Tamandua tetradactyla: one gene and its partner. Each later gene encodes a partner of the first gene's protein in a complex. Links are inferred from orthologs where the notes say so. Each region holds a gene or a part of one and is shown in the gene's direction. Other genes may lie near its edges. The genes, in order: IL1A and S100A13.

The links.
Region 2: the proteins of IL1A (region 1) and S100A13 are in contact, whole or in part, in an NMR structure (PDB 2L5X), measured with the Homo sapiens proteins. The link is inferred for Tamandua tetradactyla from reciprocal best matches to the Homo sapiens genes IL1A and S100A13. Residues at the interface, in NP_000566.3 of Homo sapiens: Asn148, Gln150, Tyr151, Thr194, Ala195, Gln196, Asp197, Leu203, Leu204, Lys205, Glu206, Met207, Gly216, Ser217, Glu218, Thr219, Asn220, His239; in NP_001019381.1 of Homo sapiens: Met1, Arg25, Gln26, Glu27, Gly28, Arg29, Lys30, Asp31, Ser34, Asp68, Ser69, Glu70, Lys72, Phe73.

What each region holds. Positions count from the first base shown.
Region 1 is NC_135343.1:337,287-346,280, forward strand, and holds the start of IL1A (interleukin-1 alpha), read left to right. Parts: upstream 1-5,088; 5' UTR 5,089-5,106; intron 5,107-5,574; 5' UTR 5,575-5,613; coding exon 5,614-5,660; intron 5,661-6,505; coding exon 6,506-6,554; intron 6,555-7,201; coding exon 7,202-7,424; intron 7,425-8,848; coding exon 8,849-8,994. UniProt on the Homo sapiens protein: Cytokine constitutively present intracellularly in nearly all resting non-hematopoietic cells that plays an important role in inflammation and bridges the innate and adaptive immune systems.
Region 2 is NC_135330.1:6,427,946-6,436,141, reverse strand, and holds the start of S100A13 (protein S100-A13), read left to right. Parts: upstream 1-4,547; 5' UTR 4,548-4,695; intron 4,696-5,620; 5' UTR 5,621-5,660; coding exon 5,661-5,813; intron 5,814-8,196. Other genes in the region: S100A1 (protein S100-A1), read right to left, coding at 149-292, 1,620-1,760. UniProt on the Homo sapiens protein: Plays a role in the export of proteins that lack a signal peptide and are secreted by an alternative pathway. Binds two calcium ions per subunit. Binds one copper ion. Binding of one copper ion does not interfere with calcium binding.

The sequences.
Region 1 (8,994 bases):
CCTCAGTCTCACAGACGAGGCACCCGGGCTCCGAAAGTTCAGTGACTCGCCCAATGAAGCGTCACCGCCCTGCCCCTTGCACACAATGCCCTCGGCCTGGGATCTGTCCTCCATGGCCCCCACCCAGCTCTCTGAGGCTGGCGGCACTCTCCCGGAGTCCTTCCCGAAAGCCGGGGTCAGCCAGCCACATCCCCCCACGCCTTGGGGTCGCCCTCCCGTGCCCCCATGAGCCAGAAGCTGGTCCCTTCCCACCCCCTCCCTGTGGCTTCCGAGCGGGGCAGCTCCAGGCACGTTGGCGTGAGCTGTGAACCCCGGAGCGCGCTGTCCCCACTGCCCCATCCTATCCCGGCCAGGCTCTGTCCTCCCCAGGCCCCAAAGGGCCCTCCCGGACCAGAGGGCAGAGCACTAAGACCACACAGGAAGAGTGCAGGAGAGGGAAAGCTAGGCTCCTACTTCTTCCCCTTGGATGTTCATTTTCTTATCAAAACGCTTCAATGCTTGCCCAAACTTTCAGACTCAGAAAAAACCTAAACTTCCTTTTCTTGCATACTAACAAGGCCCAGCCGTCTTCGTGCGTACCAACCTTTCTAGAAAGCGAGGCTGAGTCATAATCACTCAGAAGATGGGGTAAAAAACGGTCATTCCCTTCTGATTTATCAACAACTGTTACATATTTCTGTACTTGGAAAGGAATTTATTTCTATTTATACTCAATGACAAATCAAATTTGCCACTGAAGTAATGAAGAAGAACAGAAAGAGTTAACCACACATCCGCCAGCGACAGCTCTGTGTACAACAGGGAGATTCCCCAAAGCAGGCACAAGGAGGGAGCCCAGATGTGCCACGGGCAGCCTGGAGGCCACGGGCAGGCTGGAGGCCACGGGCAGCCTGGAGGCCACGGGCAGCCTGGAGACCGCGGGCAGCCTGGAGGCCACGGGCAGCCTGGAGGCCACGGGCAGCCTGGAGACCGCGGGCAGCCTGGAGGCCACGGGCAGGCTGGAGACCGCGGGCAGCCTGGAGGCCACGGGCAGCCTGGAGGCCACGGTCAGTCTGGAGGCCACGGGCAGGCTGGAGACCGCGGGCAGCCTGGAGACCGCAGGCAGCCTGGAGGCCACGGACAGGCTTGGAGGCCACGGTCAGTCTGGAGACCGCGGGCAGCCTGGAGGCCATGGGCAGGCTGGAGGCCACGGGCAGCCTGGAGACCGCGGGCAGCCTGGAGGCCACGGGCAGCCTGGAGACCGCAGGCAGCCTGGAGGCCACGGGCAGCCTGGAGGCCACGGGCAGCCTGGAGACCGAGGGCAGCCTGGAGGCCACGGGCAGGCTGGAGACCGCAGGCAGCCTGGAGGCCACGGGCAGCCTGGAGGCCACAGTCAGTCTGGAGACCGCGAGCAGCCTGGAGGCCACGGGCAGGCTGGAGGCCACGGGCAGGCTGGAGACCGCAGGCAGCCTGGAGGCCACGGGCAGCCTGGAGACCGCAGGCAGCCTGGAGGCCACAGGCAGGCTGGAGGCCACGGGCAGCCTGGAGGCCGCGGGCAGCCTGGAGGCCGCGGGCAGCCTGGAGACCGCGGGCAGTCTGGAGGCCACGGGCAGCCTGGAGGCCACGGGCAGCCTGGAGACCGCAGGCAGCCTGGAGGCCACGGGCAGCCTGGAGGCCACGGGCATTCTGGAGCCCACAGAGCCAGGCCTGGAGGCTGCAGGCAGCCTGGAGGCCGCGGGCAGCCGGCCACCGCCGTGGCCACACTCCTCCCGTCACAGCTCCCCTCCAGGCCTCGTGCTGCAACCACCCCTGCTGGGGGAGGACAGTGCGAACCCCCCGTGTGAGGCTCAGCCCCTGCACGGCCTCCAGCCTCATGCCAGGCTTCCCACGGACACATAACAAGTGCTTTGAAGCGCATCGGGTCCTGTACACACACCCGGGTGCAGCGTTGTGGTGACATTTCAACCTGAAGTAGTGACTCCCTCGCACCGACGGTGTGGCAGCCGTTTTATTCTCCCAGATCATACTGGAGTCAAGATTTGGCCGAGATGAAAGCAGCTGATTAGGCTGTGATCTGTCTTACCGGAAAGCTCACCATCCAGGGGGTGAAGGCTCTGCCAAGGGAAAGCTACCATCGCCAGCTCCATCCAGGGACGCGTGTGGGGAGGGACATGGGGGCATACCCAGATCCCCAGCCCGGACTCTTCCAGGGGAAGGGAAGGCGTCGGGCGGCCATGCGGAGCCCCAGAGGAGGACGGACGCCTCGGTGCACAGGCGGAGACCTTGGGGCCTCTTGGCTCCTCTTGCCTGACTGCCAGTGAGGAGGGGGCTCATGGAGTGGGGCGCAGGGCCTCTACCGTCCACCTGCTCCCTGGATTTCGGGAAAGCCAAAACCTAAAGGCCCAGAGAAATAAATCTATATATATGCCCCGAAAAGAAGCACATCATCCTCTTTACATATTTCGTATCTCCTCAACAGCACCTGAAGACTTGTTTTAGAATCCAAAAAGTAAGACAGGTTCTTCTCTGAACTTGAGAAACAAGTTCAGCTCATGGATAACTGTGACTCCAAAGAGGGAAATGACTCAAAAGGAGAGGAATTGCTAAAGCCCGTTTCTGGTGAAGCAACCTACAGGAGTCAGCAGGAAGGCAGCGTGGCCCATGCTGCCCGCTGTGCCCTCTGCCCGGCAGTGCTCCCGGGGCGCTCTGACCCAGACACGCACCACCCGGCGGGCCCATGGGTGGGGATCAGAGCGCGCCACCCCCACCCCACCCTGCAGGCGGTCTGGGGTCCTGCGTCCTCCCACCAGCACCGCCCAGACAGCTGCACAGAAACTGGACCCCGCAACCCCGGACCCCGCACCACGCAGCCCTGGCCCCAAGCTGCCCCACCCGCCCTCCCCCCCTTACTGGCCTGGACGCCCCTCCCCTGGCCTGGAAGCCCCTCCCCTACCTGGAAGCCCCTCCCCCTAGCCTGGACACCCCGCCCCCCCAGGGCCGCGCCCCTCCCCCCACTGGCCCATCTCCCTGCACAGGTGTCCACAGGGTCATGGGCCAGGTGGGGGGCGGCCGCCCGCTCCCTGGGGCTTCGGTCCTGTTCATCCACAGGCAGGAGCACAGAGAGGCTGTGACGAGCAGGTGCCTCTAGCCGTAGGGTATTCTGAGTGAGAAATAGGAGGCAGTGGGTGTGAATTTCAGTTCCTGGCGCATATAAATTGTCCACGTGACCAAGGCAACACCTTCCACTCCACGTCTTTTATATAAGTGAGAGTTTGGCGCGGATGTCTCGCAGGGGCACGCTTCTCCCACGTAGAATCGCAGGCCTTCAGTGGGGCACCGAGGAAAGCAGAAGAACTGAAAAGAAATGTAAAAAGCAAAGGAAGGGCAGAGGCCACAGCGAGGGACAGAAGGGCTGCGGTGTCCGAGCCCGCCGGGGCGACGCGCCGACCTCACAGCTGTGGGCAGATTATTGGTCCCTCCAGCATCCCATGTCCTCATCTGTAGAATGTGAGAGCGAGTCCTGCTCCCACATGGGTGAGGACCCCAGGGACAGGGCGCTGCAGCACCCGGACACGGCTGCCCACATGGGACCTGCTCGGGCCGCAAGGCTGGCTCCCAGCCGCCCTTCTGGGACTTCGGCCCCGAAAGCGACAGTAGGGCCCGCCCCTCTCAGCACCTGGCTCACCAGTCCCTCTTCCAAAACAGTTTCCACAGCCATGTGCGGGAGGCAGTGCCAGGGCCCTGCGGCTGCTTTCTCCCTGCTGAGCTTGCGGGTGGTGCGGCCGCAGGCTGTCCTCAGGGTATAGACTGCACTGGCCACGGGGGCTACAGGCGGCACTGACGATTTGCGTTTAGCTGTGTCCCCATGGCCACCCTCGCACCCTGGGCACCTCGCACAGGTCCCCCAGCCCCGGCCTTACATTTCCCAAAGCAGGGGCTGGACAGGACCACACCCTAGGGGTGCTCGGCCAGCTGCGCCCGCCCTCCCGAGGCCCAGCTGGTCCTCCGTATGCGGGTGGCTCCAAGATCTTGTTCATGACGATCATGACACGTCGACGGCCAGCAGGTGCGGACGCCGGGGCTGGTAGGTCAGGCCGTACGGCCTCCCCACAGTCCCACCCAGCGGCGGCTGGAAGAGACGGCGCCGCCCGCATGCACCACTTTGCACCCATTCTTGGCTGCGTCGCTTTCATGCCATGCGGCTTCTTCTCCTCTTCGCTCTCCTCCTCTTCCCTCTGCTTCCTTTATTTCAAGTTGATGTGGCTCAGACTCCCCTGGGGAACTGGACACGCTCATCTGCTGGGCAGCCTGGTGGTCTCAGGCCACGGGGACAGCCCTCCACCAGGACAGCTCTCCCCAGCCCCTCGGGGTCCACAGCCCTGGAGGCTGCCCCAGCGGCCACACCGGCCTCAGGCGCAGTCACGGCCTGGGGGTCCCGGGGACGCTGCGGCCACTATGCTGCCCCCCGCAGTCCTGGGCACCCTCACCAGCCCTGGGCTCGCACACACACGCATATGCACACTCACCAAATGCATGTGCACACACATATGCACACGTGCACGAACACACATGCACACACAAACGCATGTGCACGCACACACAAACACATGTCCACACACATGCACACGCACACAAACGCATGCGCACATATGCACACATGCATGAACACATATGCACACATGCACAGACAAACGCATGCGTATACGTGCATGCACACAAACTCCAAACACAGACCAAGCCACAAAACACTCCCCCAACTCTAGCCACCCGTGATCCTGATCTCGGGATTCCACCCTTCCTCCCCACCATAGTTTTTACAAACTTGTCATTTCCTGCTCTTCTCCCTTTTTCCACAACTACAGGTCTGTGATTATAAACAGCAAAGCAATAAATAAACAAACCAAGTCAGTTCAGTCCTGGAATCTCTGAAAACAATTTGGCAAAATTATCTAGCAAGTCATTATTTTGTCCAGTATCAAGTTGAGCAAATTCCAGAGCTGCAGAAACAGAATTCTTTCCTGTAAATTCCCCATGACGTCCTCGCGGCCACGCCTACTCAGGACAGTACAATAGGCAGGGCCCTGGCTGCCGGCCACAGAGGCAGTCATTTCAGCACAGCCAACACAGGTACCGTCGTCCCTCCGGCACGGGGGCTGCTGGACGCCTTTTCCCCCTTGCTGCTTTCCTTCCAACTTCCTTCTCTGACGTCTCCCTGGCCCTCCCTTCCCCTGGCTGGGTGAGCTGGGGCCAGTCAGGTCTCAGAGGAACCTGTGTCGTCCTGAGACGGGGAGCCGGCTCCCTCAGGGGCGCTGGCGGGCACCGTGCCTGCCCTCTGGAGGGCACCGGAAATTCCCGGCCCTGCCGCTGCCTGGCATCTCTCCAGGGCAGGCGCTGGCGCTGGTGGTCTTTGACCTATCAGACCACTGTGTGCCATGCCAGACCTGAGGCAGAGTCTAGAAGAGGGTTACAGTTCCATGGGGGCGGCAGATGGTATAAAGTCAGAGTGGAGGAGTGGACGGGAGGAAGGGGGAGACGCTGAGGGTGGCCTCTGGGGCCCGCTCCCCCAGAAGCAAGAGGGGGTCGTTTGCTCTGCAGGCCCCCTGCTCAGAGACCGTTCCTGCCAGCAACACCGAGATGGCCCGAGTCCCTGACCTGTTTGAAGACCTGAAGAGCTGCTACCGGTAACAGATCCTGCCTCAGGTTCCACGGGGGCTGCTGGGGGCTTGCTGGCCCCAGCTGGTGGGGGGGGCGCAGGGGGCCAGGCCTGGGGAGGCCGAAAGAGTTTTCTGCTATCTGTGAGGTCAGGGGGCTTCGGCAGAGACCAGCATGCGAAACCAGTTTAGAAAACCAGTGTCTGAGGTCTGTCCCACCCCATGCATGTCACATCCACTCGCACACAGGCCCGGTCGAGGCCACGTGACACGGGGACACGGGCGTTCGTGGACTGATGGAGAGAGAAACCGTTTCAGGAAAGCTTTCTGATCCCACTCCAAATGGGAACTGGCTCACAGCCCAGCCTCGACAGACAGGACAGATGTTCAATGCATAAACTCTTAAACCAACACAGCACGACCCTAAGTGTGATATATAGTAATGCAGGCTGGACTTCCAGATGGTGCTTGGAGGCTTCTGCCAAGTATAAACGATTAAATCTGTCTTAGTGAATACATGAAAACAATGTGTGACACGTGGTCTGCTTGGTTAAAACAAAAACAGAGGTGCTTCGAAAGTCCCCTTTTGAAGTGCTTACCATGTTACTCTGAAATTCAGTCACAAGGCTTTAGCACGTGAGCAGAGCCGTGCTTCCACAGATAAAGCTCAGCTAGAGTCCACGCCCGGTCCTGCTCATCCCAGGTGGGCGAGCCCCACCTCGCTGGCGGTGACTGTGCACAGAGGCCCTTAATTTTCAAACATGATGGCAAGTGCCAAGGGTGTGATGGCAGAGCTGGCGCAGTCGTGAGGGCACGTTGCCTGGCGACCACAGAGAGGAAACAAACAGCTACATCCCCGCGTCCTGTTTTGACAGTGAGGATGGCGGCTGTGGGCCCGGCAGCGGCGGCGGCGCCCTGGACCAGGTAAGACGGCGGCCGAGGTGTCGGGACGGCGTGCCCAGGCGGGAGCAGCGATGGCGAGTCCGGGCCGGCCTCCCAGGGTGTCTGAGACCCCTAACCAGCTTGCAGAACTGGACAGGACGGTCCCGAAACCCCAAGGCCAGAGTCCCCCGGCCCGGCCTCACAGGCCCCCCGGCCACACGGCCCGAGAAGGACAGGTGTCCTCACTGGCACCCGCCCAGGTCGAGAGGCAGCCCGTCCCACAGCGAAGGAAGCGAGACCCCGGGCAGAGGGACGTGCAGTCACTGCCAGGCTATGCCTGTCTTCAGGGCGGGCTTCAAAGCTGCTTCCACAGGGGAGCCCTAAACTCCTCAGAGCTTAGCCTCAGGGAGGAGCTAGCACGAGGCTATGCTCAGGCTGGTGCTCGCCCAGGGTGTAGCTCCTCATTTTCGGCTTAGCCCATGAAAGGCAAAGTCTTCCTAGGAGAGCACATCCTTTCAAGGAAATCCTGGAGGAGGGAAAGAAGGAGGGAGGGAGGAGGAGGGGAGGAGGGAGGGCAGGGGGGAGGGCGGTGGGGGAGAGGGGTCAGGGGGAGGGAAGCACAGGAGAGGGCGACTGAAGGGTGCCCTCTGCTCCCACGGCAGCCTTGCAGCTTCCTGTCCCGTCCCCAGAGATCCTTCTATGAAGCGAGCTATGGCGCGCGTCCTGAGGGCCACGTGGATAAATGCTGGCCTCTGAGTGCCCCTGCAGCCCCTGCGAGACCCGAGCTGGCCTTGGAGGAGAGTGTGGTGGTGGTGACAGCCCGAGGAAAGGTCCTGAAGAAGAGGCGAAGGAGCCTGAGTGTGGAGGGCAGGGTCGATGGCCTGGAGGCCCCCACCACAGAGCTGGAGGCAGGTGAGGGAGCCCCGTCCCCACTCGGCCACTCTCAAGCGAACGGGCACTGCGGCGGAGGGGGGAGAAAACCTGGAATCAGAGAAGCAGGAGGGCAGCGGGCACTGGACACACCCGCAGGAAGGGAAATCAATCTTAATCCCTCTGCGCGGGGCGGGCTGGAATGCTTGTCCCCAGGCCTGTTACCTGGAGGTTTGTAAAGGACCTTCAGCCCTCAGGGAGAAGGCAGTGCGTACTGTTGCCTGGCGACCACCTCCAAGCCAAGCTCCTCTACTTCCCAGCTGTCCTCCTTGGGCAGTCCCCCAGTCCTCCTGAGCCTCAGTTTCCTCTGCTCGGAAGTGGAGAACTCAGGGTCCGGCCTCACCGGAGAGCTGTGCCGGTCCCAAGCGTCAGGACTCCCCAGTTCCGGCCAGAATATCACCCGGTATACAGTAGGCATACAATCAGTGTTGCTGCTGCTGCTCTCATTAGGGGGAGCCTGCGTCCCTAGCCATCTGTCCAGCGCCCGGCAGGACCTCTGACTCCCTGAAGCCCGAGAGTTGAAGGTCACATGGAGGAAACGAAGGGCTGTCCCGAGCCGAGCAGCGGGGTTGCACATCCCTCCCGCGCCACCTGATCGAAAGCCATGTGTGTTCTCGTCGCCTTCACCCTACAAGCTTCCCATGAGTCCTGTTTCTAACATTACATCTGAATAATAACACACATTCCTTCTAAAAGTTGGAAGATGCAAGGAGAAGTAGAAATCACTCTCCCTCCAGTGCTGTGGCCATTCCTTAGGGCCGTGTCCGAGGGCCAGGGCAGGACCGCGCTGTCTGCTGGTCGGGAGCCCGTCCTGGAGGCGTGGCAGGGAGCATCGGGCACGAGGTTCTATCTGCACCGTCGCCTCGGGGGGCACTGGGGGGGGAGGCCCGGGCCAGCCTCGGTGACATGCGCGGCCTGCAGTGGTCTTGGCTTCCTCCGGGCACGCTCACGTGCAAGCCAGGCAGGCGGTGGCACCCGGGCACTCAGAAACGACCCAACAACCAAAACCGAGAGCACTCCACTAACCATCTCGGGGCACAACAGTGCCTGAGAAATTCAAGTTTTAAAAGAAGCAAATAAGTAATCTTAAAGCCCCAGCTGCTGCTGATTGGATGCCCTCACTCCCCTTCCAGTTTTCATGCCTCAGTTGGAATAGCCCTAATGCCCTTGCAGCTGCTCTCTCTGATTGCACGAGGGCGTGAGCAGGTGTGTGAGTGCATGTGCAAGCGTGAGCAGGTGTGTGCAGGTGTGGGGTGTGTGTGGGCAACAGTGACTGTGAGTGGGCCTGTAGGGGCGTATGTGAGTGCATGTGCAGGTGTGAGCAGCCGTGTGAGTGTGGCGGGGCGTGAGTGGGCATGAGCGTGGCTCGCAGTGGGCCTGACCTCACCGTCTTTGTCACCACACAGGACCCATCCAGCCCCGGGCTGCGGGCAGCGCCTTCCGGGCAGCCGTGAGGTTCAGCTTCACGAGGGTCATCAAGAGCCACTTCACACTGACCGATGACCTGGCACAGAGCCTCACCCGCGACCCCCGGGGGCCGTACCTGGCAGCC
Region 2 (8,196 bases), on another chromosome or scaffold:
TGCACTTGCAGGCCTGGCCCACTACTCTTGTGCCCTTGATGGGGATGGGAGGAGCGTGGGGAGGGGAAAGGGGGTGGGAGGTAAGCCGGATCAAAGGGCAGATCTGCCAGGGTGGAGGGGAAGGGCGCTGCCCACTGGGGGTGTCTGCTCAACTGTTCTCCCAGAAGAAGTTGTTACAAGCCACGGTGAGGGCGGCCACCAGCACCACGTACTCCTGGAAGTCCACTTCTCCGTCTCCGTTCTCATCCAGTTCCTTCATCACCTTGTCCACCGCGTCCGCATCCTTCTGGGCCTGGGTGGGGGAGAAGGGGAGAGGGGGAGAGGCGGTGGCACGGCGAGTCCAGCGTGCCTGACGCTGAGTTAGGAGCAAGGAGGGTCGTTGATTGAGAAGGAGGCAGAACTACATCGAATGGGACTCCTGTGCTCCCCTCCTCAAAACCCCAATACCCATGGGCTCCTGTTGCCCACAGGATGAGCTCCTCCACAGCGCGGAGTAACGATGGTCACAGCTGTGACCATCCTCGGAGTGCCTTCAATGTGCCAAGCTCCACAGGCATTGTCTAATTCCTCACAAAAATAGATTTTTTTATGAGAGGTAGATTTCATTATTCCCAGTTTAGAGAAGAAACGAATTGACAGTCAGTGGTTAAGCAAGCTGCCAAAGTCACACAGCTTGAAAGTGATAGGGTCAGAATGCAAATCTGGGTCTATAAATAAATAAAAATAAAGTGTCTGTGTACTTCCTACTGTATCCTGAAGGTTCTCTTTTACCGTAGGGCCCCCGTTTGCTTTTGTGGCCTAATTTTGTGCATCCTTCACTCCAGTCAAATTAAACTTAGCATGCTCCACCTTCTTTTCTTCTCTCATGTTTTTATTCATGCTGATACTGCCTCCTAAAATGTCTTCATTTACCCCAATAACCTGCCAGTGGAAATCCATGGCTCAAGTGGCATGTCCTTGGAAAAGCCATCCCACTGTAATCAGGTTAATGTTCTCCCATCCCCTTGCAGGTACCTCTAAGAGCTCTTTGTACTTCCGGCCTTGTTATTGATGAATCTATACACAGCCTTCACTTAACAGGTGATCAAGAAACCAGGGCATTTTTGTTGTTTTTAAAAAATATTTTCGGTGATGAATCTTAGCACACATACATTCCACACATGTACAATCAGTGGCTCACAATATCATCACATAGCTGGGTATCCATCACCATGATCGATTTTTAGAACATTTGCATCTCTCCAGAAAATGGAATAAAAAGAGAAAAGAAAAACTCATACATACCATACTCCTTACTCTTCCCTCTCATTGACCACTAGTATTTCCAACTGCCTGATTTATTTTAACCTTTGTCCCCCCCAATTATTTGTTTATTTTGTATCCGTATTTTTTACTCCTCTATCCATATGCTAGATAAAAGGCGCATCAGATGCAAGTAAACCAGGGCATTTTGAGTTGCACCAGGAAGAGTAGGGGGGCCTGGAAAAAATTCAGGAGAGGTCTAGGAGAGCAGGGAGAAGGCTGGGCTGAGTGGGGGTGGGGTGGGGCGGGACTGGAGATGACAGGAGCGTGTCCACCCCATTCTGCCCACTTGCCCATCCCACCCTCTGCCCACTCACGTCCAGGAAGCCGGAGAGCTCGGTCTGCAGCAGCTCTTTCAGCTCCTTCTTGCTCAGCTTGTACTTGTCCCCCTCCTTGCCGGAATGGGTGTGGAACACGTTGATGAGGGTCTCCATGGCCGTCTCCAGCTCAGAGCCCATTGCGGCAGCTCACCTGTTCACCCCCACACACAAGCACACACGCCATGGAAGTGAGTGGGGGACCAGACCCAGGGCATCCGGGGTTGGGGTGGCGGGGAGGAATCTTGGTCTCAAGCCTGGCTCTACCCCACAGTCCGAACCCTCACGAGATGGGAGCCCCACAGCAATTCACCCTTCACTGAGATATTATAATAGGGAAAACTCAGGCAGAACTAAATCCAGTCCTGCTCTTTGGGTCCGTTAATCCATATTCCAGCCAGACAGGGTTTGGGGCATTGGAGAGAGAGTGACTGGGCTGGCTCTAGAGGCCTGAGGAGGGTGGGGCAGGCAGAAGTGGTCACAGGGCCTGGCCAGGCTGCCTCTGAATCTATTTTTACCCTGCGCCTCATTTGCCCGCATAGCCGGGCTCTGTGTGCTATTGGGGACAGTGAGCTGGGGTCCTTTCCATGGTCTTGACTCTGTGGCCCACCATTAGCAAGGAGTCAGTGTGCTATTCTTGGTGAGCCTGAATGGAGGGGAGACAGTCGGAGTGAGTGGCCTAAGACTCCTTGGGGGGTTTTCACAGCCATTAAGCTATCTGTCAGCAGCTTGGGGGCTCCTTTTGGTCCCTCAACTTTGTTCTTTCCAGAACACGTCATTTTGGCTTCCCTGAGGTAGGCCTCTCATTGCCTCTGGTTCAGCTCCTCTTGCATCTCTGCAGAATCAGCCTTTCCCTTGGAGGAATGGTGGGAACGGACAGGAATGTCTGAGGCTTATCCCTGGAGCCAGGGCTCCCAGGGAGGGGGAGGGGAGACCTGTAGGGCCTTGTCTCCCCAGGCCTAGCCTGGTTGATGTGGGGACAGTGAGAGAAGGGGGAATGGGGCCGGTGTGTATTGGGGAAGATAAAGACTCAATTCCTGAGGTCCTTTGAGGGGCTGGGAGGGAGAAGAAGAATGGAGAGGACTGCTGAGGCTGGAGAGGGGAGACCGTCAAGCCAGTGGGTCTCTTTCCTTTGTCTCTGGGGCTGTCAGCCCCTCCCCAGTCTCAGGGGGCAGCTCAGATGTCTCAGATCAGATGTCCCCATCCTTCCCGGGGTGGGGGGCTGAACAATGGGCCCTGATCGTATGACATCCCAACTCTTCAATGGGGCCCTTGTGAGTGTCACCTGAACTCCGGACATGAGAAGCATTTGTCACAGAGACAGAGGAGAGATGGAATCCAAGCTGGGGCTGATGGAGAGGATAAGGGGGCGTGTGAGGGAAGGTGCTGGTGGCTCGGTTTCCAGCCTCATCCAGGAGGGGCACCTGGAGCCCTCGAGAAGGCTGGGGTTTTGTGCTGGGGAGTTCTGAAAGGAGCTCTTCGGCAGTGTGGGGGTGGGGGTGGGTATGGGCAAACAAAGAGAACAGAGAAAGAGGAGTCTGGATTTCTAGGCCAAGAGAGGGGAGGAGGAGAAAGAGGAGGCCATGTGGGGATGGAATTGGAAGTGGGTACAATATCCTTGTACCCCTTCTTCCTGGTATCACATGACCACACCCTGCCACCTCCAGACTTCCCTGGGACCTGAGCTCTTGGCAGGGTGGGCAGAGGTGGCAGAGACTGAGGCTGGGGCCAGAAGCAGTGGGTCTATCTGTTCTCTTGTTCTAACCCAGTGGAAGCACAGGGAGGGCTGGGTGCCCACCTCGGTTCCTGGGAGATTGAGGGAGAGCTGGCAGGGGACTCGAGGGCTCCTTGGTGGGGGCCTGTGGCCTGGGGCTCAGGGGCAGGCACCTCATTGGTTTCCTTGCCTGCCATGCTCCCACATCTCTCTTGACCTTTACCTGCCTCTCCTTACCACCTTCCAAAACCTATCTCCCCCGAACCCCACCTTGTTGCCATCCTGATGAACTCCTCCTGGACCCTCAGTCTGCCACAATGTCCTTGTCCCCAGAGCCTTGGAGCCCCTCTGAAGCCCCCTATCCCCCAGTTGGCCTGGGCCGGGACCTGGCTCGGTGGGGCAGGGTACTCACGGTCAGCTCCGGCTGCAGATGACAGCAGGTTCTGGACAGCCAGGCCAGGCTGCTAATGTGGCTTCAGAGCTGTGTGGGGAGACCTGTCTTCAGTCGTCCTTACCCCGCTGCCCCCCCCGCGGCTCCACCCCCTCACGGACACCCAGTAGGGCAAGGGGCCAGGAGTGGACAGAGGCGCCCTCTGTGTTCCAGGCTGGAACAGGCCACCCTGTGTTCTCTTCCCCAGCCATGTTCTGCTCCCCTTCTCCCTCGCTGGGCACCAGCATGCGGGCACACAGGAGGAGGGGAGGTGGGGAAGGCAGGTCTGGGGGGGACCCTGGGGCGCCTCACCCGCGCTGGGCAGTGGAGCCCCTGCCACGGCTGAGCCCTGCTGTTCAGCGAGGACCACTCTGAGGGCCTCGGAGCCCAGGTCTCCTCCACGCGGACCCCTGAGGACCCTCAGTGAGTAAGTTAGTTTTAGGGCATCTCCCTGGGGTTCAGGCTGTGATCCCTCTGAGAGATTCAATGCGGGGACTCTTCCTTGGGGATGTCAGTCTGGACCTCTTTCTTTGTGGGGTTTCATTCTGAGGGGGCATTTGTGGTGTTTCTCTGATGGGGCGTCTCTGGGCTCCCGATTGGAGGGCAGGGGTGGGTGGGGGTGGGCGGGGGGTGATTAGCGCGCTCCCAGGTGTTGGGACGGTCGGGTCCCCGCTGGGCGGGGTCTGTCCAGGCAGCTCGGGGAGCCCCAAGTGGGGGCGGGGCGGGCGGGGCGGGGGGGGGCGCGTCCCCGACGGGGGGGGGCTCGGGGGCGGGGCCTCCGGGCCGGGGGCGGGGCGGGGCGGCACCCGCCAGAAAACCCGCGGAGGAAACTCGCCCCGCGGGGCTTGCGAGCCGCTGGCTCCTCCCTCCCCAGACGCCTATAAACCTCAGCCCCGAGGCTCCTGCTCGTTGCACCCCATCTCCTAGCCCTGGTGAGTCGCATCCCCCTTCCTCTCCGGAGAACCTGGGCACCCTCTTTCCTCCCCGGGGCTCCAGCTCCCTCCCCCGGAGGCATCTCCGACGGGGATCCCGGAAGTGGCTTGGAGAGAGCAAGCAGCAGTCTGTGCAGGGATGGGTGGCGGGTGTGGACGGATGGGCGCATGAGGGGTGACCGGGCACGTGCCCTTGCTTCAGTCCGAGCCCCCTCCCCGGGGCTGTGGGTGTCCACACCCTCCCCTCCCAGGCCCTCTGTGGGCGCGAGGGCCAGCACAGTCCTGCCCAGGCCCCCTGCAGCTGGAGACGGGTGCGGGGGGGGGGGGGGGGGCCGCGGGGGCCTGGGCTCAGCCCTCTGTGCAGCCGCCCCAGCACCTGTGCCTGAGGGGAGGCGGGCGGGGACTAGGGAGGAGACAGCCTGAGCCGCCCTGGCTGCAGCTGGGCACCGGCCAGACCCTGGGCTCCTCTTCTGGGAAGAGTGGTCAGGGTGCGGGGGCGGAGCGCTGCGGGTGCACGCCCGGGTCTGAACACAAACACGTTTCGGAGACAAACAACCTTATGACCCTCTGCGGCTGGCCGGGTGAGAGACTTCAGGAAGCGGCTCTTGGACAACCCCCCGAGGGACTGCTCCACAAAGGGGTGCCCAGATGAGAGCTGCCTCTACCGAGGGGCCTCCAGACTGACAACAGACATAAACACTTAAAAAAGGATCCCCAGACTGTGCGGCCTCTCAAGGAAGGGGTTCTGGAAATGAAAACCCACCTCCCCACCTCCTACATTGAGATACTGCTACCGGGCCCCCTGGCCCCTTCTCCCTTCCCAGGCAGATTCCTGAGGTGGCCGTGCCAGGGCAGGGAGCGCTCTGGCCTGGTCCTAGGTCCCAGGCTCCCTGACTCTCCCTTCTGTGCCTTCCCCATCCCACAGGTCAGCCCCTGGAGGGCGGCAGCTCCAGCCCAGCGCCCCAATGGCGGCCGAACCGCTGACTGAGCTGGAGGCTGCCATCGAGACGGTTGTCACCACCTTCTTCACCTTTGCAGGGCGGGAGGGCCGGAAGGGCAGCCTCAGCGCCCAGGAGTTTAAGGAACTGGCCACTGAGCAGTTGCCTCACCTGCTCAAGGTAGGCCAGGGTCTGCAGGCCTGAGAGTACCTAAGGCCCTGCGCGTGTGAGCTGATTCGTGTGACGACAGGTGTGAATGGGGAGAAGGGTGTGGGTGGCTCCGTGTGTACATGGTGCTGGGTTTTCGTCTGGCGTGTGCCGTGTGCCTGTGTGTGTGGTTAGGTAAGCAAGGAATACTGTGTCCGTGCAAGCGGGAGTGTGCGGTGGACGCTGTGCTCCACCCCCCCATGCCTGTTGGGTTTCTGTGTTCTGCCTGCGCAGCTCTGCTGCTGCCCAGCACAGAGCGGGCTTCCAGAAGGTTCAGACACCAGGCAGAATTAGAAGAAAAGCCAAGAGAGGAAACATGGCCTGACCTCCTCGCTTCATGTGTTGGAAACTGAGGCGGTGGGAAAGAGCTTGTCAGAAATAAGGGCACTGCCAAATGCATGGAATGGAAGAATCTCAGTGCAGGAGGGGCCTGAAGCAGCAGCTGGGGTGCTTCCCACCCATCTAAGAATCCCCCCAACTGTGCACCTGACCCCTTTCCTAACAGGTGGAAGTCAGGATTTCAAATTCTTTCATTGTTATTCACAAGCTGTTAACAGGGTCTTGTAGAATTTGTCTGAAAATTCCCAGGCAGATAAAAGTGTGTGAATGTGGATTTAAACATAGACACACACACACACACACACACACACACACACACACGAATCTCTGAAACTCATAGTCTATCTGCTATAAAACCCCCTTTGTCCTCAGGCTTAGAGTTTTCCCTTTGTTTTCTTACTGGAAGCCTGGCTCTCTTCTGAAGGTGCCGCGTTTCCTCCAGCCCTGTCAAGCCTGAACTGTTTTATTCTTCCACCTCCTTCCAGGCCCGGAAATGCCCCAGGTGATCTTTCTGCTTTTCATTGCTGTTTGCATGTCTTAGTTCTTCCTTCTTCCTAAGTCTCCCGGCTCCTTGGAAGATCATATACTCCTGCCCCTCTCTCATTGCTCTCCCCTGTACCCCTTCAGCCCTTAGCTTATTGTTTATCACATCACTGCTTCTGGCGTGATTCTCAGTGGGTTCAGAACCCACTCAGACAATTCATCTGACACCCGAGCCCTTTGATTTCTTAAATCACTTCCAAAGATTCTGTCCTCCAGTATCTCAGCATCCTAATCCTATATTCATGCTTTAGGTCTTCTCTTTACTAAAAGAAAAATAAAGAAGTAAATCAAAACCCTATACCACGTCCAATACCTCAATTTCAAGCCTTCCTTTCTCTAACTTCCATCTCCTGTCTTTCCATTTTTATTCCTCTATCTGCGTCTTCCGTTTCAGCATTTCCTTGTCTCCACTGGGACTGCCAATCTCTTGACCCTTTTTTCATCATCATCCCTTGTGTCCTCATTTCCCTTCTTATTCAGCTTGAGTTCTAAGGTTCAGTATCATCACTCCTTCACCTCTTTTGCTTCTGTCTCTTTCTTTGTCCTACTTGCCCCGCAAATTCTCAATCCTGGTTAAATCCAACATTCCACCTAAATTAACTTGTTGGTTAACCTATTGGTTAAATCCAACATTCTGCGCCTGCACCCGTGTAGCTGAATGTGGCTGGAGAAAAGCACTCAGCCAGGCCCACTTGCCTCACTTTAAATCTATAACCACAAGCCCCAAGGGGACTCTTGACACCGCCCGCCCGGCAATTCTATTTCATTTCCCTGGTCCATTCATTCCCCAGCTCTTTCAGATCCTGATTTCACAACATTCCTCTCCTCAAATTCCGTTACCTGCCCCCCACCCCACCCTGTCTCTCTGTTGACTTTACTTCTTTACTGAGAAAATAGGAGCAACAAGGAAATTCTACGCCCTCCTGTGACCATGAATGCTGTCTCTGCTCCTCTGATCCCCTCTGCTGGGGCCCTGCATCCCAAACCTGTCGCTTATTTAAAGACTTCACTCTTGCAATTATAGACCTTTTTCTTGCATCATCAGAATTCTTAATCACCTTACAAATACGCTATCATCTCTCCATTAAAAAAAATAGAATAAATTTCCCCTTAATCCTATCATCCCCTCCAGCCATACTTTGTAGCTCTGCTTCCCCTTATAGCAAAATCTCCTCAAAAGCAATAAGAGTTATTTATACTTAATGTTTCCACTTTTTCCTCTCCCAATAATCCCCACCCGTAATTTCCTCTTGAAACCTTTCTCATCAGGTTTTCATTCTAACCATGCTACTGAGATTTCTCTTGTCGCTATCATGAATGTCTTCTTTATTACTTAATGATTGGTTCTTATTTCTCATTTACACTGCTGAACTGCTTTTTTTTCACTTGGTTTTTTGGATGCCAAGAGTAACTCGCAGTGTCTGATCGTGGCTTCTCTGTCTCTCCATCCTTTTCTTCCCTGGATGCTGCACAG